Linked DNA regions of Lonchura striata. The protein of the gene in region 1 interacts with the protein of each later gene in a pairwise test. Links are inferred from orthologs where the notes say so. Each region holds a gene or a part of one and is shown on either strand. Other genes may lie near its edges.

What was found.
Region 2: the proteins of AMOTL2 (region 1) and keratin, type I cytoskeletal 20 interact in binary tests that used the Homo sapiens proteins (3 or more experiments, as listed by UniProt). The two-hybrid records come from large-scale screens. The link is inferred for Lonchura striata from reciprocal best matches to the Homo sapiens genes AMOTL2 and KRT20.
Region 3: the proteins of AMOTL2 (region 1) and RAD51D interact in binary tests that used the Homo sapiens proteins (3 or more experiments, as listed by UniProt). The two-hybrid records come from large-scale screens. The link is inferred for Lonchura striata from reciprocal best matches to the Homo sapiens genes AMOTL2 and RAD51D.

The regions. Positions count from the first base shown.
Region 1 is NC_134612.1:5,558,358-5,566,106, reverse strand, and holds the start of AMOTL2 (angiomotin-like protein 2), read left to right. Parts: upstream 1-4,747; 5' UTR 4,748-4,829; coding exon 4,830-5,533; intron 5,534-6,839; coding exon 6,840-7,062; intron 7,063-7,549; coding exon 7,550-7,694; intron 7,695-7,749. UniProt on the Homo sapiens protein: Regulates the translocation of phosphorylated SRC to peripheral cell-matrix adhesion sites. Required for proper architecture of actin filaments.
Region 2 is NC_134627.1:6,792,124-6,800,097, reverse strand, and holds the start of keratin, type I cytoskeletal 20, read right to left. Parts: upstream 3,004-7,974; coding exon 2,581-3,003; intron 1,810-2,580; coding exon 1,727-1,809; intron 1,518-1,726; coding exon 1,361-1,517; intron 855-1,360; coding exon 693-854; intron 612-692; coding exon 486-611; intron 320-485; coding exon 99-319; intron 1-98. UniProt on the Homo sapiens protein: Plays a significant role in maintaining keratin filament organization in intestinal epithelia. When phosphorylated, plays a role in the secretion of mucin in the small intestine.
Region 3 is NC_134622.1:6,004,108-6,011,741, forward strand, and holds the start of RAD51D (DNA repair protein RAD51 homolog 4), read left to right. Parts: upstream 1-4,631; 5' UTR 4,632-4,662; intron 4,663-5,013; 5' UTR 5,014-5,041; coding exon 5,042-5,123; intron 5,124-5,732; coding exon 5,733-5,794; intron 5,795-5,944; coding exon 5,945-6,063; intron 6,064-6,290; coding exon 6,291-6,372; intron 6,373-6,470; coding exon 6,471-6,605; intron 6,606-7,013; coding exon 7,014-7,109; intron 7,110-7,294; coding exon 7,295-7,385; intron 7,386-7,634. Other genes in the region: UNC45B (protein unc-45 homolog B), read right to left, coding at 351-440, 998-1,173, 1,458-1,494, 1,767-1,928. UniProt on the Homo sapiens protein: Involved in the homologous recombination repair (HRR) pathway of double-stranded DNA breaks arising during DNA replication or induced by DNA-damaging agents. Bind to single-stranded DNA (ssDNA) and has DNA-dependent ATPase activity.

The sequences.
Region 1 (7,749 bases):
TTGTCCCTGCTGGCATCTCCTCAGCGTTCCCTGGACTGGGTCCCACTGGTGCTAGCAGGTCAGGAACAAACCCCTCGCAGGAAACAGGGAAATAAAGGAAAGCAGAAAAGAACAATTTCACATCCAGGAATGGAAATGACTCAGGGGCATTAAAATGCAGGGAAGATGAGAACGAGGAGGGTCCTGGCCCTGTTTTCAGCCACATTTTTCCCCTCTCAAAATTCCTAAGAAGGGGCTCTGTGAAGATGCCTGTGGCACCACTTCCCAGAGTGTATGATTGATGAAGAACTGTGGCAGGAGTCTCTGGAGTGGGGATGTGCCCTGGGTTATCTGTATGGGATCTATAGATCAGCTGCAGAAGAGGAAAGAACCCAGGAGAATGTGGAGGAGAGGGAGCAGGAGCACTCCAAATTTCTGTGATCCTTACTTGGGGCAGATCCAGCATGCCCCTGGAAAAAAGGGGAATCTCAGGGATCTGACTCTGGGAGAGACACCTGAGGTGTGGAGGAGCTGGCTGTCCCCAGAGAGATGGGACAGGTGGGAACAGTGCTGCATTCATCTCTTGGGGATGTCCCCAAAAGCTTCTTTCAGATGGGATCAGTCCTGGTCCCCTCATTGCTCCAGCTGTGTCCCCACCAAGCCTACCAAGGTTTTCCCCTGGGTGGAGAGAGATATTTCCATTCCTTCCTCCACTGAGGAAGAGCCATATCAGTCACAAAGCAGCAACAGGATTAGGGGATTTGGCACAACCAGGAGCATCCCAATCCCACCCATGCCCTGCCCAGTCACATTGAGGTGTTCCCTCTTGGAGTTTTGGGAAGGGAATTTGCTCTGTTGCACAGCAGCACTCCAGGTCACACATTTCCAGGGGGATCAGACCTGGGACAACCCAAAATGATGCAGATTTCAGAGAGAGGACAGGGAAGATGAGCTGGCCTCAGGCCTGGCAGCTTGTGGGGGTATCTCCAGGAGGATAGGATCCCTCTGGGTGGGATGGTGGGAGCAGAGCAAGGGCTGGGGTGCTGCCTTGGCTACCTGTCCCTGGGGATGCAGTTCCCTTTGGAGGCAGCCTGGGCAATCCTGGCACTGGGAAACAGCATTTGTGCAATTCCTTGACCTCCAGCTCCTGGTTGCACTTTGAATCCAGAGTTCGGGACAGAAGCAGGTACCAGGAGGAAGCTTTATCAGGAAGATTGCCATGGAGAGGTTTGAGGGGTTCAGCATGGTCACGGGACACTGCCAGTGGGGCTCACTGGTCACGGGATGCTGTCACCACTGTCACCATCTCCCCAGGAGATGTGCTGAGGCTGCAAACCTCCTCTCCATCCCAGGCACCCACCTCTGCCCACAATGCCCCAGTTTTCCAGGCTCAGCACGGCTGAGGGCTGAGGCATTTTGGGAGCCTGAAGACAGCCGAGGTGATCTCATCCCACGAGTATTTTCTTGGCTCCCTCTCCTCGCTCCAACGCCTCGGCGATAAGGCTGGGCTGAGGTCAGTGGGAGGGTCTGGCATTGCGGAGCCGTGTGTCACCCCGCGGAGCCTGGGACACGGCACCGGAGCCTGGGACACGGCACCGGAGCCTGGGACACGGCACCGGAGCCTGGGACACGGCACCTGCACCTCCCTGGCTCCAGCCAGACACCGAGTCCCCACCCCAGCCTCCAGGATGCTCCACCTGGGAAGAGGGTCCGTGCAGGCAGCCAAAGGTGCCCCCACCACTGCCCACAGGTCCAGCTGCTGTTGTTTCACCTTCTCCTGGGGAAAACAAAAAGGTTGAGGCTTTTCGTACCTCCAGTATTAGAAAGAAGGAGAGGGAACTCTTCAGATCACTTTCCAAAGGGGTCTTATCAGCCCAGGAGGGGTTTCCTGCTGCCAGGAATAGAGCGGTGTTAAGATAGGAAGGGAAGGATGACACAAACATAGATAAAGCTGGGGGACGAGCCAGGAGAAGAATCCTGGCTGCTGGGGCAGCTGGGCTGCTCCCTTGGAGCTCAGGTAGGAGCCCCATCCACCTGGGAAAGAGCAGGGCAGAACCACAGCTAGGTCCTTTCGGAAATGCCACTGCTGGGCTTGGTATATTGGAGTGGTGCATCATCCATCCATCCATCCATCCATTCATCCATCCATCCATCCATCCATCATCCATCCCCATGGTGCTGGGCCTGGGCCCGTGTTTCCAGACTCTGCATGTTCCTGGGGACACAGGGACAAGTGCTGTGCTCTCATCTCCTCCCCACATGAAACTAGACCCTCACTGGGTCTTCAGGGTGCCAATTCCCACATTTCAGCCTTCATCCATGAGGATTTGACTTGTCACTAGGAAAACTGGGCTGGAAAACCTGTTTCTTGAACTTCCAGGTGCTCCTCTTCCTCCAAGTACCGACTCCATCTCTCTGCATTTTCTTTCCATGCTCCCCTGCCTTTGAGTCTGGTACCTGCTGCACATGGGAGATTTATTTATTTCCCCATTTTTTGGGAGATAACCCAGAGGTAGTGAGTTGTGCCTGCAGCCTGTGCCTGCTATTGCACCCTGGGTGCCCCAGGGGTGATACCAGCGTGTGATGGAGCAGGAAAACAAGGAGATGAGGCTGGAGATCCCCACATCCCTCTCCCCACATCATCCTCCCGGCTCTGTGCCAGTCAGAAGATGCCGAGTTCCCTCAAAAGAATGGGAGCTTAATGTCCCGGAGCTAATAAGCAATTTTCCCCTGCACCTGCCTCTCCCCGCTGCCTCCCCTCCGGCCATCTGCTGTCTCGGGGCCTCTGGACTCTGCACTGACAGCCTGGGGCGCCCGGGGCTGAGACGGGGCTGGTGTTTCACTGCTCTGGGGCTGGGGGTGCTCAGTGTCCCCCCAGAGATAAACCGGGGTGGGTTGAAGGGGGAATTCGGCCCCTGATGGTCTCCTCCATCCCTGTGTCCCCCCAGGGAGGTGGGTGGCAGAGCCCAACAGGGGAAACTGAGGCTGGGAGAGCAGCAGGGGCACCCAGACACGAGCTGGCAGGAATTGCTGCATCCACAGCGAGCTGGCAACCCCAGCCGGGGGGGTGTGAGGATGGAGGACACAGGAGGGAGGAATGCAAGGAGGGAGATGTGAAGAGGAGATGCAAGGAGGGGGAAGGTGAGGAGGGGGGATGAGAGATGGGGGATGCAAGAAGTGGGATGTGAAATACGAAGAGGGGGACATAAGGAGGGGGATGTGAGGGAGGGGGATGTGAGGAGGAAGACACGAGGAGGAATGTGAGGTGGAGAATGAGAGGACAGGGGTGTGGGGGGGGGGGATGTGAAGGGGGGGATGTGAGAAGGAGGATGTAAGGAGAGGGACACGAGGAAGGGGGATGAGAGGAGGGGGGATAAGAGGAGGGGAGATGAGAGGACACAGAATGCGAGGCGAGGGGGATGCGAAAAGGGAGAATGTAAAGAGAGGGGTGCGAGAAGGGGGGGCCCGAGGGGGCAGAGCAGATGGGGCCAGCAGGCTCGGGGTTGCCCCGGCCCCGCAGACAAAGGCTGGGGCAGATTTACGGCCCGGGACAGCTGGCGGGCAGAGCCGCCCCCCCGCCCGCAGCTGCCGCTCCCGCTCCCGGCCGCGCTCCTGCGCCGGCGGCGGCCCCGGGGCGGAGCGGGGCGGGACCGGCCCCACATTCCGGGCATAGCAAAGCCCGGCCCGGCCCCCGCGGCTCCGGGACGCTCAGAGCCGCCGCAGCACCGCTCCGCTCCGCCATGCCCCGGTGAGTTCTGCCGCCGGGACCCCCCGGCGCCGGGAACTCCCCAGCACCGGGACCCCCCTGACCGGCACCGGGACCCCCCGAGCGGCATCGGGACCCGCCAGCACCGGGAATCCCCCGGTACTGCCGCCCAACCCCCCCCGGCACAGGGAACCCCTTAGCATTGGGACGCCCCCGACTGGGATCGGGACCCCCGACCGGCACTGGGGTGCCCGGATACGGAGAGGCCCCTCGGGGAAAGGACGCTCCCCCGGCACCGGGAATCCCCCAGCAGGGATCGGGACCTCTCTCGGCAGCGGGACCCACCCGGACCAACAATCCCGGGACCGAGACCCCCTTGGACCGAGATCCTCCCGGCCGAGACTGGGACACCCCTCTGGGGCTGGGATTCTTCGACCGGGATCGACCCCCCCTGGCCCAAGGAAGCCCCCAGTCGGGACTGGGATCCCTTCACGGGAGCCGGGACCCTTCTCCCTGGGATCGGGACTCACCCCCCCCGGCACCTGGACCCTCCCGGGGAAGACCCTCTCCCATACCGGATCCACCCCCAGGGACTGGGAACACTCCTGGAACTCTCCCAAACGGGACAGGAACATCCCCACGGCACTTAGAGCACCCCCCCTTGCCCCACAGAAAAGTCCCAGGACCCTCACCGAGACTGGGACACCTCTGCAAGTCCAGGACCTCCATGTCCGGGTCTGGGGATGGGGTGGTCCCACCCATCTCCCGGTGGCTCTGTGCCCGGTCCCGTGGGGCTTTATCCCCCACTCCCGGGCCAGTGCCAGTCCCGGCTCCATGGGGCACCGGCTCTGGAGGCAGCCCCGGCCCCGGGCTCGCTGACAGTGCCGGTGCTCGGCCACCCCAGTGCGGGGGCTGCTCCGCTCTCCCGCTGCCGCCACGGGCTCCCACCCCTCCGGCACGTCCGGGCCGCATTCCTGGCAAACAATCCCGTGTCCATCAGGATCCGGACTCTCCTGCCCCGACTGCTTCGCAACAACCCCGCTTCTCCCTCTTGCAGGTGTCTCGGCGTGCCCAGTTGCTGTTGAGGTCCCGCGGGACGCCCCTCCCGGGTGGAAAGGTGGCTCTGCCGGCGGCACGGACGGACATGAGGACGGCGGAGGACTCGAACGGGACGGTGCTGCACCGCCTGATCCAGGAGCAGCTGCGCTATGGGAATCTCACGGAGAACCGCACTCTGCTGGCCATCCAGCAGCAGGCTCTGCGCGGCGGCGGCGCCGGGAGCCCCCGCTCCTCGCTGGAGAGCCTCAGCCCGGAGGAGAGCCAGATGGTGCAGCAATCCACGCGGCAGGAGCCGCAGGGCCAGGAGCATCACTCCGACCACGTCTACTTGGAGAACAGCGTCTATCGGCTCTGCCCGCCCAAGGGCGAGGAGCTCCCCAGCTACGAGGAGGCCAAGGCGCATTCCCAGCTGCTGGCCTCGCAGCGGGGAGCGGCGGGCGCGGGGCTCCGGTTCGAGCCCGGTCCGCGCGGGGCCGACAGCGGCGCCCGGCGCCCCGACGAGGCGCTCAAGGAGCTGAAGCACGGCCACGTGCGGTCCCTGAGCGAGCGGCTCATGCGGATGTCGCTGGAGAGGAACGGGGCCAAGGCGCAGAGCCCCATCAGCGCTTCCCACAGCTTCCCGCAGCTCTCCCGGCAGCTCGTCCCCCTGCGCGGGCAGCACCCCGAGGGCACGGAGCCGCGGGGACCGCCCCCGGAGTATCCCTACGTCATCCCTTCCCAGGACGCTTACCTGGCTGAGCCCCGACCCTGCTCCCGGGAAGGTCCTGGATTTCAGCATCCTGAGATCAGGTAAACTCTGGCCCCTGGGCTCTGCTTTTGGATGCCTCCCAGGAATGTCCAGGATGGATGTTTGGAACTTGCAGGATGCGAAGGGCAGTGGGGGCCCAGAGCAGCTGCTTTTGTCCTCACTGGCACAGGCCATGGGGGGTCTGCCGGGAGCACCCTACTCTGCTCCTGTCCCCAGCTCCCCCAGCACGGCTGGGCTTTTCCAACCAGTGACGAAAATCCCATTCCCACAGCAGACCCTGCCTCATCCCCATGCACCAGGAAGGAGCTGGGGGTAACTTAAGGGATAATCTAGGAGCTGGAAGCAGCCCAGGAAACAGATAAATGTGGAATAGGTATGGGGCAGGGTGGAAAACAAATATGGTCCCTGCTCCACATGTCATGTCATGGTCCTGAGCTGGGAATGTCCATGTAACTTGGAATTGCTGCTGAGCAGAGCCTGGGCTGGTGCCAGGTGGTCTGTGGTTCCTTTGGCAGCTCAATACCTCTGGCAACGCTCCAGGGTGACTGTGAGATGGACATCTTGTGGTCCAGACATTACCTAGAATTTGAGAAGGACTGGAAACAGCCTCTTCCATTGTGGAAAATGATGGGAAGAAGGGAACTGGTGGCTCAATGTGAGGACACACTGCTCCCAGCCCTGCTGATCTATCCAGGCAGAGAGTGATAGCATCTCCAGCAGGAAAACCTTCTCCTTCCAGGGAACAAAGAGGGGAAGGGGAGCTGCGAGGAAGATGTATTTATTCTTCCTTGCTCCTATATCATCCCGCAGGAATGCGGGCCCTTGGCGGGCAGCCCGCAGGGGAGCACAGCGGGGCCGGGCCGTGCACAGCCACCCTGCTCAGGGTATTCCAGGCAGGATGTTGAGGTGGGATGCTGCAGCAGTGGCACAAGGGGCAGCCAGGCTGGCCTGGCTCCTCCAAATATAAAAAGGATGCATCCATGGTTTGGCAGTGAGGACCTATGTCAGGAATCTTTGCTTTGCATAGAAAATAAGGAAAAGGCTGGCTTCCAAGGTGCATCCTATGCCAGGCTGCCTGCAGCATTGCCAGGAGGAGAGGGACCTGGGGGGTTGGGAGCCCATCCAGACCCACTGCCCAGGTCCTGGAGGGGTCAGGTCAATGCATCCCTGCACGATGGGATTTGTGATTAGAGAGCGAGCGCTTCCCAGTTCTAAAAAAGCAGGATAGGCACTTCCACCTCCTTCGAGATGACTTGGAGGCACTGGCACGTGCTCGATGGCATGCTGGAGCTGCAGCCAGCCCTCCCACCCTGCCAAACCTTGACTCGCCCTCCTCGCTCTCTGCAGGGTGCTGCCCACCTCGGTGCCGGCCGCGTTCCTGCCGCTGTGTCCGGGCGCGCTGGGTCCGGCCGGCGTGGAGGCCCTGGTCAGCGCCCAGGCGGTGTCGGCCGGCAGCCGCCTGGCCCGGGCAGACGCCGTCCTGCGGGAGAACGAGAGGCTCCAGCGGGAGAGCGAGAAGCTGCGGCGGGAGCTGGAGAGCTGTGCCGAGAAGGCGAGCCGCATCCAGAAGGTGAGGGAGTGGTGGCAGCTTCCCGTGTCCCTCCTGCCCGGGGCGATGCTCGACCAGCTGCCGTGAAAATTCACCCCCTTTAGTGATTTAATCCTTTCTCCTCCTCCCTCTGGCGGCTTGTTCCCCTCGGAGCAGCTGCAGCACGGCAGCCGGGATTGGGGAGAAGGAGCCCATTCTCCAGTGACCCTCTCCCTCCGCCTGTCCCCCCATCCCGGCCGCCACAGAAAGCCCTTTGTGTGGCCGCGTACAAGGGGCGGCTGTTCCCCGTGGCTGGGCTATGGCAGAGCCAAAATCCGTGGAGAGACTCTTCCATAAGAGAAAAGCCCGAAAAAATCAGTTTTCCCCCCCAAAACATGTGCTGGGGGCCTACTCGGGGTGCACTGAGCAGCTCAGTTTGGGCTGAGCACCCTGGCTGGGCTTTGGCTGGCATCTCCCTTTCCTCATTCCATGAATATCTAACCCTGGCTTGTCCCTTCCTCCACCCCAGCTGGAGAGCGAGATCCAGCGCATCTCAGAGGATTATGAAAATCTTGTCAAGGCGTCTTCCAAGCGGGAAGCCTTGGAGAAAGCCATGAGGAACAAGAGGGATTGTGAGATGCGACGGCTGCAGGATTTCAACCGAGACCTGAAAGGTGAGGGGACCCTTTGTGTCCACATCCCCATGGGTGCTCTGTGTCCCTCAGCTGT
Region 2 (7,974 bases), on another chromosome or scaffold:
GTTGGAGAGAGGCAGATTTGACACGAAACCCAAACCAACACGCAAAGCCATGTGTGTGCTCACCCCAAACCAACACGCAAAGCCATGTGTGTGCTCACCCGCTTTCCTCTCCCTCCAGCAGCCGGCGGTATGTAGCGATCTCCATCTCCAAGCGAGTCTTGACATCCAGCAGGATGCTGTACTCACTGTTCTGAGCCTCCATGTCAGCTCGGAGCAGCCTCAGCTGAGCCTCCAGACTGGAAATTGCTGCCTGTATCTGGTCAAGCTGGTAGCTGTACCGTGATTCCGTTTCAGCCAGAGTGCCTTCCAGGGTCTGTTTCTATAGTGCATGGGAAGAACAGTGACATGTTCATTGACATATTATTCATTTTGATTGTAAATAACATTTTGATTGATTCCTCTATTTATCTTTTTATCCTCTGTTTATTACACCTCTATGTAACTCTCTGATATCTACAGTCCTTATCTTGCTTTTTGTTATTTACCATGGTCAGCAGGGACTGTAATTCCAGCTCCAGGTTCTGGAGGACCTGTCTCCGTTCCGTGATCTCTTTCCTTTGGACCTCCAGCCGCTCAACATTGAGGGCAACTTCCTGGTTCAGTTCTGCTGTCTGGAATGAGGAATAGAGGGACTGTGAACTGCAGCCAGGCATGACCAATGTTCTTGCTGGTGTTTAAGCAGTGGACTTTACCTGCTTTTCAAAATGTTCTTTGGCTTCTTGGCGGTTCTTTTCTGCCATTTCTTCATATTGCTTTCTCATGTTTTCCATAATAGCAGCGAGATCAATGCCGGGAGCAGCATCCACCGCCACGTTCACAGAGCCGCCCGCCTCTTTGCGCAGCCTGTCACGGTCCTGCAGCAATGGGGACTGTGTTAGCACCTGCTGCAGGGAGCTCTCACTCCTGGGCATTGGGCACAAACTCAACATCTACACACATAGGACTAATCCTTAATAGTATCTTGGGGCAAGACAATTTAATCACCTTGTAAATACTGTTTAGTGCACCTCGCAGAACAGTTCACTTACTTGATAGCAATAAATGTTATACCATAGATAAATGTATCATAAAAATGATTTCCTCAGAACAAATCTGTGGAATGAGGACAGAAGTCATGGTTCCCATTTGTGTACTTTTTGGGGTAGCAATTCCTGAACCATAAATTTTTCTTAGAGAAAACCTTTACTCCTTCATTCCTGGAATGGAGGAGTGTTCAGCCTTTGATGCCTGATAGCTTGAATGTCCCTTTGGGTCACACATGGTAATGCTGCTTCCAGAAAGGATAGAAATGCTTCCTAGTGAGCTTGCTTGTGTTTGCCACACAAAGCCCCTCTCCCTGGCTGTGGTCAGCTGCTCTCACCTCCTCGTGGTTCTTCCTAAGGAAAACGAGCTCCTCGGTTATGCTCTCAATCTGGGACTCCAGGTCAGCTTGGGTCAGAGTCAGGTCGTCACGGACACGGAGCAGTCCAGTGATGTCGCTCTCCACACTCTGCCTGAGCAGGTGTTCATTCTCAAACCTGTACAATACAGTGCCTTTTGTCATCATTGGAATGCAACACTTTGGAGTAAATGTTAGAATCAGTAACCGCTTCTAGAATCAGTAACCACAGTCATATTAAACTTAAAGTTGGAAAATGTTCACTTCTTGTCACTGATTCCAATAAGTGGAAGCTTTCCTAAATAAGAGGATCATGAAAGAGAATTGATATAAAATCATGGAACTTACTTCAGCCTAAAGTCATCAGCAGCCAGCTTGGCATTGTCGATCTGCAGGACAAGTCTGGAATTTTCCATCTGGGCAGCAGAAATCTAAAGGGAATGGTGGATAAGCAATGAAACTTTGCACAGAAATTCACACTTGATCCTTTCCTGGGAATGAATACTGTAAGTAGGCTTCATCCTCCTTCACTTCAGCTGTCTGTTGGTCCGCTGGCTTTAAGCTAAGTTCCATCTGAAGTGCATGAAAGGAATTAGGGATGTCCAAAAGACAAATTGTCCTGCTATAAAATAAGTGTATTGAATAGTTGGGATGAACTGTTCTCTGAAGGTATCTGCTTTTAAATGCTGGGAAGTAGAACTGATAAAAAATAAAAGGGAAAAGACTGAAGAAAGTTCTGGAAACATGATTTGACAAACATGTCAGTTGAGTGTTTGGAATATTTCATTGTTTCCAGTGGTAATTTACTATTTTAAGTGGTGGTCTTTAATTTTTTTCTGAGTGCTTGCCCTTCTTTTCTAATAAACCACTTTGAAATAGACTGTTGCTAAAATATATTTGAATATGTAGATTACCATTAGTACTTTCTCTAATTAAAGCCACCTAAGGCAAATATCATAGAACTAGTTAATTTTGAGTCACAGATTTTTTCAGGTATGAGATTGCTCACAACTGCAGGCATATTATGAATAATTACTGGTATTACAAATTATCTAAAATCTGTCACTAATATGTAGCTGATCAAAAATAAACTTCTTCCCAGCTAGGCGAATTTGGAAAAGTACATTTTCTACAACAGATTATTCTCTATCTCACTGATAATTGCAATTCCTATATTTATGGAGGGCTTTATGACCTCTTACCTTGTTTCGGAGTTCATCAATTGTTTTGAAGTAGGAGCTGTAGTCCTGCCCTATGCTTGTGGTGTTCTTTTCATACCATTCCCTGATCTGCCTCTCAATCAGGGAGTTTGACTTCTCCAGTGAGCGCACCCTCTCCAGGTACGCAGCCAAGCGATCGTTCAGGTTTTGCATCGTTGATTTTTCATTGCCAGCGAGCAGCACATCGCTCCCAGTGATGCTGAGCTGGAGGCTCCCTCTGAGGCCTTGGCCAGAGCTGGTGCTGGTTGATATGTGGGTGCCATAGCCCCCAGCTCCCCCATAGACACTGGGTGCCTGGATCTTCTGGATGGACATTTTCCTGGAGGTCACACTACTGACACTGGGTGCAGAGGGCTGGACACGGCTGCTCGTACTCCACTGGATGCTGCGGGTGGAGAATGCCATTTGTGCTCTTTGTCTTCTAGACTGAAGCAGGTAAATCAGCACAGATTGAGATGCCAGTCAGGAGCTGAGTGTGCACTGTGCACCTTTATACAGGTCCAAGAGGAAGCACAATGGCTGGAAACCCCACCTATGTTGACGCAGAGTGTCACTGATATCAGTACAAAGAGCACACAGGATATTGCCCCCCCCCTCCCCATAATTTGAAGGGGTTCTCATCTGTTCGTCTGTGTTTGAGGAACACTCCCTGGGTAGTTTGCTTGCTTTGTTATTTTGTATAACAGATAAACAAAAAATGATCTGTTGAATAATTTATAACCATGTACCTGCAGCCAACCCTCTCTGTAGCCCTTTGAAACAAATGAGTAGGTTCTTATCCCCCTATGCAGTGCATGAATTTAAAATGAGAGTTGCTTATATGTGAAAAGAGACTTAAAATATTTATATTTCTGTTGAGTAAGCAATAACTTGGGCCTCAGGACATTCTAGAACAGTGTATATATTATTAGAAAGGAGGCAGCTGTACTACCATGTGAATTCATTTCATAGTGAGCACAAACCAACATCTGCACTGTCAGTGAAGAGTGGAGGCTATTGCCATCAGCTTGGATTGAATATACATTTGTCTGGTATAAGAAAACCATTGCAAGTTGAATTTGAGCTTTCAGTACAGCTGAGATTGAGTGGAAAGAATATTTATTTAAATAAGGTAGGAGGAATGAGAATATTGGAAGCCTTCACAGCCCACTGTTTCACATGTGAAATGCTGAGGTCCATAGATTGGCAGGAAGTGTTAAGTTCCAGCTTCCAGTAGAACGACCCTCCAGCCCTCCAGTGTGGCTGAAGTTGAAGCAAAACAAGTTTCCCTCCTGCCTCATCAGAGACCATCAGCTAACAAGTACCATGCTGGGGGGTCTGTCCCCAGCCCAGGGGCTGTGGTCATTAACAGGAAACCAGCTGCCTTTCCATGGCATGAAGAGACTCAACCATCCTGCTGCTGATCGTGTGGAGGATGCTCCTGAGCTAACTGTGGAGTACCCTTGATGCAGAAAGTGCATGGAGAATTTGTAAAGCAAAGGAAAAACCTGATTGCTGAGGGGTTGTTAGTGGTGCAGGAGAGTGGGTGGCAGGAGGTGCAGCTCCTGGGGCATTGCACTGACAGTGCTTATGTGTGCTACTGATGTTTTCAGGTAGAACAATGAACACACATGGCTTGTGTTAGTGAGAGCAGCTGCTGTACCTACTGATATTCCAGCTTGGGGCAAGGAAATTGGTGAGACACAGAGCTTTGGAGGCATTGAAACGTGTATTGGAGAGCACCCAAACCAGAATAGTTTGGTATTAGGGAATACCCAATATATTAGGGAATCAGTACTGCCAAGTTTTTAAAGTTACTATGCTAGGCATTAATCTAACTGGTCTTGACTCGAGAGAGAGTTAAACTCTTATATTTGGCTGTTCTGGAAACACAGCTTCCAAACCAAAGCAATCAGTGTGCAGGGCAGGATTTTTCTTTCCAAGAGGATGCTGTGGAGTGTCTTTGAACCTTGAACTTCTTTGGGTGTAACTTGTAATAAAAAAACATTTATGAGATATGATACCAAAGTACAGTGGCCATGACATTTGGCGTGTCACTACAGAGACTTAGGGTGGGTTGTCATTTTTCCATTGAAATTATTCAGGCTGAGTAAGAATTGCTCATTTTAGTAGAGCAGACTCTACATCTTTCGACTGTAAGAGGAGTACAGAAGAGATCCTGCTGGTCTTACATTCCTTGGCTCTGTATCTCACTGCCTAGATCTCTGCAGGATTGTGTGGCAGTCTGTTTAAGAGCAAACATTCTGCTTTTTCTTCTCAGTATTAAAATTAGTTTCCATGTTACCTGGGTGATATTGTTTTAAACATAATTTGGAGGTTCTATTTCTTTTTATTATGTGAACAAATGAAAAAAAGAAGTCAGTGATCTGAATGAAGGTGACCATCAGGCTTAGGTCAGACATTTGCCTTGTGTTATGACTCTGCTGCTTTTTTAGAAGCTGAATCTCCAGCAATTATTTTCCTATGGACTGTTCAGCAGAAGCATCCAAGATGCATGCAAGAGGAAGCAAGGAGCAATGGCATCATGCAAACCCAACGTGAAAAGATACAAAGCTGAATTTTCTTAGTGTTCTTTTTATTCTCATCCCTCAATTGTTCACGGACAATTTCTCTGGCCTTATCATTTCCTCCCCAAAAAGCCAGAATATTTGCAAGAATACTTGCTAGGATCAGGATAGATCAACATCAGAGGTGGGGTTTGCTCCTGGTTTTGGTTCAGTACACTTTTTTCCGTGAGATGTATCTTGACTGGTTGTATCAATCAGTGGAAACTGCCAGAGGGAGCCCTGCAGCTGCAGCCATGGCAGTGGGAGGAGGACGAGGCCCCAGCCGGGCTGGAGGGTGAGGGGCTCCTCAAGGCGTCAGCTGGGAGTGGCCTCAGCGTCCTCCACTCCTGGACTATGCCCAGGAATTTTCTGCAAGAACATGGCTGCCTCATTTTTATTTATTTTTTTATTTTTTTGGTTGTAAGATTAAGTTATCTAAAGAGATGTTGGGCAACCTAAAAATACATTGTCCAGTACTGCAATTTTGGTCAGCATTGAAGAAGTGCTGTAACAGTTTGCTGGTGCTTAGCTCAGCAGAGCAGTTTCAGCTCCAGACTCATTTGTGGGAGCTGTAAAGCACAATCTGTGTGTTCACAGGTAGCACTTCCCTTCAGTGTTGTCCTTGGTCAGAGTGGATTGCCTATAAATGTAATAAAACATTTATAGCAACACTAATGATTTGTTTGATTTAATGAAGAAATGTCACCTGTGTGACAGAAGTTTAATGTGCATTAGAAGGCCATGGAGATAAGTTCTGCAGGGCTCTGATAATGTGGATGCCATTCCATCTGACTCACCTGTGCTAACCAGCCATGGGCAACCAGTCTGGAGAGTTCAAGGAAAAAAGACACACCCAGCTATGGGTCTGCATTTTTGCTGCCTTTAGGTGGAACAGATGCTTTTCTTTTGGCTGACATAGAGACTGAAATAAAGCAAAGTCTTCTAGTTCAGTCAGTAGAGATGATCCATTCTAGGAGTGAAATCTAGCACCCTTTTGCTGGTCCCTGTTAACCCCTGTGTTTGGGTTTAATATCATAAGGGTTTGATTCTGAAAGAGCTACGCTACAGTCCTGAAAGGACATTGCTATGCAAACTGCTCTCAGGGGAGAAGCATTCTGTTTTCAGTGTTCCAGCCTTATTCCAGTATTCAATATTTCTGGGTCTGAGATATTCCCCTCCTTCTTTTCTTAACTACCCTTACATCTCTTGTTAATGCCAATGCCTGTGAAGCCTGCTCTCTCCAAAGAGCAAAGCAAGGTATTTTGTGTTTTGTTGAATGGGATCAGAGGAGAGAAAGTTCTGGATGATGTCACCAACTCAGCTGGATTCACCTAGGCCCTGAACATTTGCAGTTCAAGATCTTACACTGTCTGCCTCACGTATTTTTTTCCCCTCATTTCCCTCTCCGTTTTATCTTTTGTCCAATGAAAATATCTCAGTCATCAAACCACTACATCTTATTTCTTTCTGCTTGGAGCTTTGACCAGAGGGGTAAGTTAAAACATTACATATTTATGGTACTTAGAGAGGTGTTCCAGCTCCTGGAGTGGTGCATGAGGCAGTGTGTGGGTTCCATCCCTCCCCAGCCACAGGTGGAAAATGAAAGTCAGGAGCTGCCTTTCCTGTCTCAGCTGCTCTCCTTGAACAGAATCAGATCTCAGTGCCAACAAAAACAGCTCCAGGCCACACAAACGAACCTTCTCTTTTTTCTTCCCCAAAAGTGCCATTAAGATCAACTCCAACACAGGACTGCTGGCAGAGCTCTCTCCCTTGGAAAAACCCTGTGCAACTGAAGTATCAAGGGAAAGAGAAAACCAGTGAACTGGAGAGAATACCATCCTACTGACTCTCTCAGTTCCATAATGCTGGAGTAGTTCAGTATCCATGAAAAATATTGCATACTTCTGTGATTCAGGAGGCAAATACAATTTTCACGGCCCTGTGCAAATAGGTACACACTGATTGTACACTGTAAAAGATATGTACAACCACACTGTATTGCACATGTTCATATCCGTGTAGATTTTTTGCTTACTTAAAAAAAAAAAAATTGTGGTTCTGGGGATCTCACTTGTGTCACACCTTGAGCCCCCAAATCAGAAGAAAAACTCAATTTTTTCCCCAGGGTAAAATTACACTCATAATGCCAGGAGTGCCTGGGTAGCTGCAGCTTCTTGTTTGGGGACTTCTCTGGAATATCATCCTTTCAGTGCATCCCAGCGATCCCACAGCATCCCCACTCCCGGGGTTTGTACAACCAGGAACAAGCTATGGGCTGCTTACAACCCAAAATACCCTCCCAGCATCAAGATCTGTGTCAGGAAAGCAGATACCAAAAAAGCAAAAGAAAGGAAACGGGCCGAAAATCCGTCTGCATACTCCCCTGGAGGGAGTCTGGCACTGCTAATTTCGTTCACTGCACAAACACCGCAGCAGAAATGTCCCGGTAGAAGCTGTTCCCCAGCCGCAGGAGCCCCGGAGGAGCGGCAGGAGCGGGGACAGGCAGCGGGCTCCGTGCGGATCTACCTGGTTGTCACTAGAGGCCACCACCGGCCTTCGGAACGGAGCTGCCTCCAGCCCTGCCGTGTGAGCACCGCGGGAGAATCCGTGCGGAGCTTGAACGAGAGAATAAAACTTACGCATTACATAAGGAAATGTCTCATAAGTATCCACTTTACTGGCCCTATATCAACAGGAAATTTAGTTGCATCGCTCTTGTGGCCAAATGTTTAGAGGAGTATTTATTTTCAGAGCCACCAGCCATAATTACGGAGTTCAGTGCTGTGCATGGAATGGGTTTGGAAGCAATGGCAAGAAGAATGGGCTATCT
Region 3 (7,634 bases), on another chromosome or scaffold:
CATCTCCTGACAGATGCAGCAGATCAGCTCCGACTCCACCAGACAGGTGCATTTAGGGATTGGCTCTGCTCTGCACAAGGAGAGTGGGTCACTGCTTGGAGGGAATACCTGGAGAATGGCAGGACCTGAGCAGAAGTCCAGGCTGATCCCACCTTTGGTATTTTTGGAGGTTGGGCCACCTTCCCTTGGCACAGGGGTGATTTTTCCCTCTTTCTGAGTGCAGTTCTCCTTCCAGCTCCTTCCCTCAACCTCCATCCAAGGGAGGTGGGGAAGAGAATGCAGGGCTCTGCTCCCTGGAGCAGCCTCTGCCATCAAACAGCCCATTTTGCCAAGTCCAGGGCAGTTCTCACCTTTTCTCGCTTTTCTTTGTCGCTGTTCTCATCCAGCAGGATCTCAAACATCTTCTGCACCCTCGAGTCCGTGGAGAACTGAATGCGCAGCTGTGCCAAGAGAGAGAGCACAGAGCATCAGGAGGAGAAAATCGAGGAGCAGCTTTCCTTTTTCACTTCAAGAATACTCCCTGCCCTCAAACCACAGGCAATTTAAGCTGAATAACAGGAGATAGAATTTCTCAGCAATCAGTATCCATTACCCATCTCAGGGGCACAGGCAGAGCCAGCCCTAAGGCTTAATTTCTGAGACTTCACAGTAGGTAGCGATGCAAGGATTTCTTCACAGCGCCCCTCTAAAGGCAACTCTAGCAATGTGGCAACTGCCAGACCCAGCCCAAAGTTGGTCCAGACCCTTGCCAAGACCTTTGCAAGACACTCAGAACCAGGCCAGCCTCAGGAGAGAGTTGCCACACTTTTAAATTTAACCAATCAACCCAATCCTCAGATTTACACACATCAATTATGAACTTCCAGTCAATGGAGCCTATTTATCACCTTATATTGGCCACGAGTTTCCAGTATGACCAACAACCCATTGATGCAACCCAGAGCAAGGATTTCCCACCCCTGGTCTGTGAATCCAGCACTGTTCCCCTGGCATTTACCTTCTCCTGGATGTTGGCCCCCAGTCTCCTCAGGGTCTCCTGGAAGTTTTTGTTGCGGGGTTCGAGGGTGGCACATTTCTGAGCATCTTTGAATGCTTGGTCTAACTTCCCCAGTTTTTCCAGGGCTTGGCTGCGCCGGTACAAGGCTTTGATATCTGAAGCATTGATGTCAATAGCTGGGAAAGGGATCCAAAACACCAGGCATCAGAGCTTGTTGCTTGGAAATGGCCTGTGCAAACTGTGATTTGCTTTGTTATTAGCATCAATCAGTGCCTCATTAGCACTGATTGCACCAGCACACCAAATCAGAACATCATTTGAACTTCCAGGAATTCCCTTGTGGCCTCAGCACTTGGCTGTTAGTGGACATCAAGGAATAAGGCCACAATGTCCCAAAAGCAGATGTGAGAGCAGGCTGAGGAAATGGATCCAGCTCTCCTCATAACAACCCCCTCCTTACCTCTAGATGCATCCGAGGCTGCCTTGGCATATTCCTCCTGTTAAACCAGAAAGGAGAGATTTGTTAGCCATGCAATAGCAGGGCATGTCCCCATTGCTGATGGGCATTGGGACCTCTCTGTTCCCATTTCCCAGGGGGACACCCCAGTGAAGCTCCAGCACAAGCCCAGAACATTTCATTTCAGACCAGCTGGAAACACCCTATTCAATAAATGGACAAACCACCCAGTCCACAGCCAGTGAGTGCCCTTGGCTGCCCTCCTGCTCTTCTCCCCTTGAGCACTGCCCAGGTGAGGGGAGCTTTTCTCACCTTTTTGAGGAAACAGGCTGCCCTGTTCCTGTACAGCACCGCCTGCAGAGCCTTGTCCTTGTTGAGCTTTATGGCTTGAGTGTAGCTTTGAAGGGCTTTCTCATAATCATTGGCCTGAAAATATTTATTGCCCTCCTCTTTCAGCTGAATGGGATCCTCCATCTGGAGAGCTTGAAGGAAAAAACATCCATTTGTGTCCCATTTGCCTGGGTTGCCTGCTAATCCCCCAAGCTGAGTTCCACCATGAGACTGACACATAATTAACACACATTAATAAAAGCAGCTTACCAAGCCAAAGAGTTTTGAAAATGAAGACCTAAATTGCTCCTCAAGGCTGTGACTTCTCAGAAGCTTTTTCCACCAATATAAATCCTTAGAAGTAAATTAAAAAAGAAAGAAAGAAAGAAAGAAAGAAAGAAAAACAACAACAAAAAAAGGAATTAAAGAAATCTGCCAGCACTACGGAGAGTCTGTGTGGCTCAGGACAGAGCTCACTTCCCACTCCAAGTTTGGGCAGGACCTGGCAGCTCCTGCTGCCTGTCAGTGTCACTTGTCACCACAGCCTGTCCCCTCCTTGTCCCCTCGTGCTTTATACGCCTGAGGAGGGCTGGGAGCCAGGGCCAGCTCGGGGGGCACCTGGCTGCAAGCAGGCAGCACCCCTCTGCAGCAAGAGGGAATCCTCTCCCACCTGCCAGGGCAAATCCCAGCTCCCCTCTGCCTGCAGAGCTGCAAAGGGTGTGGGGAGCAGGAAGGGGGAGGTTCACGCCAAAAAAACCCACGGCTGGGATGGCTGACCCCTGTCACAGTGCTCAGACCCTTTTCCCATTCTATTTAGGGAAGCATGAGACAGCTGAGCCTCAGGGACAAGTGGCCCCAGGCCAGCAGCTGCAGCAGTGCCCAGCACCTTCCAGAATTCCCTGGGATGGAAAGCTGACTGACACCCAGCGCTGCCTCCTCCTCCTCCTCCTTGCAGGGCATTTGGGAGCCCATCCCACTGGAAATCCCACCCCAGTCTGGTGCTGCCACCCACCCCACACGTGGTCATTCAGCCACACTTGAGGTGGGCTAACACAGAGGACTGGGCTGGAACATACTGGAAGTGCTGTGAGGAGTGGCTCAATTTGAGTGGCACCAGGAGACAGCAGCACTGAACTCCAAGAGAGCTGAACCTTTCAACCCACTCTGTTCCCCAGGAATTCTGCTTTTTGATTTATCTTCCCCTAAACACAGGCCTTGCCTTCACCTGCCAGCATCCCAGCTATAAAGCAAAGTGGGGACTGCCAGGATGGGGAAATGACTGAGGAGAGCATGGGCTGATCCAGACACTGCCACGAGCAAAAATATCATTGTCTTTAATTGTGTTATCTGTGTTATGGCTTGTGGCTCTTATGCAGAAAGAATTAGCACAGAACTTCCCTGTCCAGGCCTCCTGTTTTATTCACCCCACACCAGCAGCACTGCCTGGTCCCTGGTGTACAGGCAGGAGGCGATTCCAAATCCATTTGTAAATCCTTTCACAGCAAAGCATCAACCACAACTGCAGGCAGCTTCATCAAGAGCAGCTCCCACATCTATACCTGTTGGAGAACAGGTCCAAGGTACAAGGACAACATCTGTGGAAAGTGTAAGATGCCATCCCTGCCCTGGACAGACTCAGTGCAGTGGCTTTTCCAGCATTCATTTGGATTAACACACCAGAAACTCCTTCCAACATGGCTTTAGGTACTGGCCTTTCTCACGTCAGCCAGAGTACAGCTCCATTGCCACAAGCGGCATGGCCACAAGCGGCAGCACTGCAGGCAAACCGAGTTACAAAATCAAATGTTGGGTGCAGCCGCTGCTCGAGGCAGAGCTGGGACTGCAGGGCAGGCTCAGCAGCGAGTGCCGAGAGCCCTCTTCAGGCCTCGGCTGGAAGGAAAAACATAATTATAATAAATACCCCCAAAAATAGTTTTCCCAGGAGAAATTCAAGCCTCCAGGGCAGCCAGGGAGGGACACATAGCTCCCAACACCTGTATGGCAGCAAAGTCCCCAGCCCTTCGTTCGCCTTCATTTCCCAGCGAGCAGCACTGCCTGATGAGCCGGGACAAAGCCAGTCCCGGGAGTGTCACAGAGTCAGCATGGTTTGGGTGGCAAGGGACCTTAGCGCTGTGCTGATCCCGGCGAGAGCAGGGGAACCGGAGCGGGGTGGGACAGCCGGGCCGGGGAAAGGGAACCCCGGCGGGATGGGAGAGCCGGGACAAGGAACAGAAACCCCGGCGGGATGGGAGAGCCTGGATGGGAAAAGGAAACCCCGGTGGGATGGGAGAGCCGGGCCGGGGAAAGGAAACCCCGGCGGGATGGGAGAGCCTGGATGGGAAAAGACAACCTTAGCGGAATGGGAGAGCTGGGACGGGGAAAGGAAAAAGGAAACCCCAGCGGGATGGGAGAGTCGGGATGGGGAAAGGGAACCGGAGCGGGATGGGAGAAACGGGACGGGGAAAGGAAACTCTAGCGAAACGGGAGAGCCGGGACAAGGAAGACAAACCCTAGCGGGATGGCACAACCGGGCTGGGAAAAGGAAACCCCGGCGGGATGGGAGAGCCGGGACAAGGAACAGAAACCCCGGCGGGATGGGAGAACCGGGACAAGGAAGGGAACATCGGCGGGATGGAAGAGCCGGGCTGGGAAAAGGAAACCCCGGTGAGATGGGAGAGCCGGGACAAGGAAGAGAAACCCCGGCGGGATGGGAGCACCGGGACAAGGAAGGGAACCCCGGCGGGATGGGAGAGCCGGGACAAGGAAGGGAACCCCGGCGGGATGGGAGAACCGGCACGGGAAAAGGAGCGGCCCCGGCCTTTCCGCCGGCGGCAGGAAGCAGGAAGGAGCGGGCAGGGCTGCGGGGAGCCCGGGCCGGGTAAGCTCCGTGGGGCTCCGATGGAGGCGGCTCGGGATGGAGGCGGCTCGGGATGGAGGCGGCTCGGGATGGACGGTCCTCTTGTCCCGGGATGGAGCCTCCCCGCCTGCTGTGCTTCCCTGCTCCCAGCCCCGTGCAGGATTTTGGGCTGTTTGGCCCCAAAGAAGAATTAATTACCCACCGTAACCACCCATCCCAAACACAGCTTGGGTGGCTTCTCCCCGGCTTCAGGGGCAGGCGCCATCCGTGGCTCAGTGTTGGACCTGGCGGTGCAGGGTTGGAGTTGATGATCTTGGATGTCTTTTCCAGCCTTAATGATTCCATGAATCCCACTCCCCCTCTCCTCCGCAGGTCTCTGCTCTTCTCCCTCCCGGTGGCGATGGTGGTCCTGCGGGCTGGGCTCTGCCCTGGTCTCTCTGAAGACATGATCCAGCTTCTCAGCGCCAATGGCATCAGGACAGGTAACAGCGTGGCATCGGGGTCTCGGCTTGGGGAACATCATCCCCCGTGCATTTGGTGGACCTGTGTCCTCCCACATCCTGGGAGGGTGGTGGTGGAATATCCTTCTGTGTCCTCCTTGCTGGATTTCTTCTGGGTCCTCCTGGGTGGATACTGTGAGTGAGGACTTATTCAAAGGAGCAGGAGAGTGTAAGGACGTGGTAAGAGATACCTGCAGAGGCTCTTTGAGGAGTGATAATTTGTGGCTTTTTTTTGTGGTATTTCAGGAGGGTTTGTGCAGTTTTTCCTCTGAAAAATGCCCAACTTCTTGGAATGCTGTACCCTGGGCACCTCCTGCCCTTAGAGGAGAAAGAAAAGGTGCTGGGCAGCTCTTGAGCAAAACGGGGACAATTTTTACCAGCTTCTCTCTCTGCTCTGTTTCACAAGAAACAATTTATTTTGTGATGAGTGATGGGGCCATCTCAGAGGAAAAACTCCTCCACTCACAGTGTTGACAGAGGGCACAGCCTCTTTGCTTGTTGGTGCAGGTTTTGTCTAAGCTGGTTGTCTTCTGGTGTTTGTGGTCTGACCATGTTTGGCTTCCAACCTCTTGTCCCTTATGTTATTTGCAGTGGTGGACTTCGTGTCATCAGACCTGGAGGATGTTGCCCAAAAGTGTTCCCTGTCTTACAAGGTAGAAGGGACTACTCCTCACTCCTGGTACATAAACCAGGGAGCTCAGAGCTGTTTGGCTCATGGACAAGGATGGGCTTGTCTGGGAGCCCTTCTGGAGCACTTGCTGGCTGTTGATCAGTCCCATTTCCAGACATCCCTCTGCCCCCAGGCGCTGGTCGCAGTCAGACGTGTGCTCCTGGCCCAGTTCTCTGCCTTCCCTGCCAACGGAGCAGACCTCTACGAGGAGCTCAAGAGCTCCACTGCCATCCTGCCCACTGGCAGCTCAAGGTGGGGACCTCACCCACCCACCAGCTCTGTCTGGGGCTGGGTTTGCTGCACAAGGCTGTGGTTGCCAGCACAAGCTTTGAATTTTGTTCTCCAAACCATCCCCGTGCACCTATGTGCATTTGGGAAGGCGACTTTGAGGACAAATATCTGGGGACTGCTGCCTCCTGATGCTCCTGCCATTCTGGCTGAAGGGGTGTTGGTAATCCCACCTTGTGTCCATCCCACAGCCTGGACCAGCTGCTGGACTCGGGGCTGTACACAGGGGAAGTGATGGAGCTCATGGGAGCACCAGGCACTGGGAAGACGCAGGTGAGCGGGGTGGAGGACAGAGGAGAGGACAGGTAGGGTGAAGATGTCCCACAGAGGGACACGTGAGGCTGGCTGACACCCTGTCCCTGTTCCCCCAGGTGTGCCTGGGCATTGCAGCCAGTGTGTCCCTGGGGCTCAAGCAGCATGTTTTGTTTCTCGACTCCACGGGGGGTTTCACTGCCTCCCGTCTCTACCAGATGCTCCAAGCCCAGACAGAGGATGAGGAAGAACAGGCAAGTTCCCCTGGAGCTGGTTCCTCTGCTTGCTCTGAAACTCACTTTGCTTTTGCCTGCAAGAAACCCCAGAGATGGTTTGTCTTTCCAGCTCTGCCTTTGTCCTCATGGGCTTTTTTGAGTCCAAACCCTTCCTTCCATGGCCCAGTGGGTGCCATGCTCAGGACAGACTCTGCTCTTTGTTGTTTTTCTTGGGAGAAGGGAAGGACTTACAGGACTCGCAGGACTTTGCTCCCTGAGCTCAGTACATGTTGCTTTTCCATCAGTGCCATGGGGGCAATGGTGCTAATGGGGTGGAGGCAAATGTGGAGGAATGTGGCATGGTGTGAGTGCAGAGAGCTTGGGGCAGCTGGGGCAGGAGGAATAGGCCAAATCCTGGGGGGACTGAGGCTGTGTTTTGTGCTGCAGCTGGAGGCCCTGCAGCGGGTCAGGGTAGAACGTGTGTTCAACATCTACGAGGTGCTGCGTGCCTTGCAGGAGCTGCGGGATCGCCTCTCCCAGCAGGTAGGAGTGAGCCTTGGGGCCCCTCTCCCCTCCCCAGAGCTGCAGGGAGGGCAGCAGGGCTTGTGTGTGCCTGACAGGTGACTCCAGATTGCCTCATCCTGGGGATGTCGGAGCCTCTGTGCAGCTCACAGCCTCCAGAGCTGCTGGATTTGTGACTCCACGTTGCACCTGGTGCCTCCTTGCAGGTCGTGAGCTCCATGGGACCTCTCAAGGTGGTGGTTCTGGACTCGGTGTCGGCTGTGATTTACCCTCTGCTGGGTGGCAGGCAGTCAGAGGGTGAGCTGCTCACTGTGGGAGCTGCTCCTGGAATGGGGATTGGAACAGGGTAGATGTGGATGTGACTGCTCCCAGCTTTTCCCTTGGGACTGGATAAAAGGGGGGGGCCTGTTGCAGTGTTAGCAGCAAACACTTCAGCTGGCTGTGGCTGCTTGTGGCAATGGTCTAAAACTCATCCAGGGAGGCACTGGACTCTGCCCACAAATTAAAACTTAACAGTGACAGAAATATATCATGGCACAGTTTGCA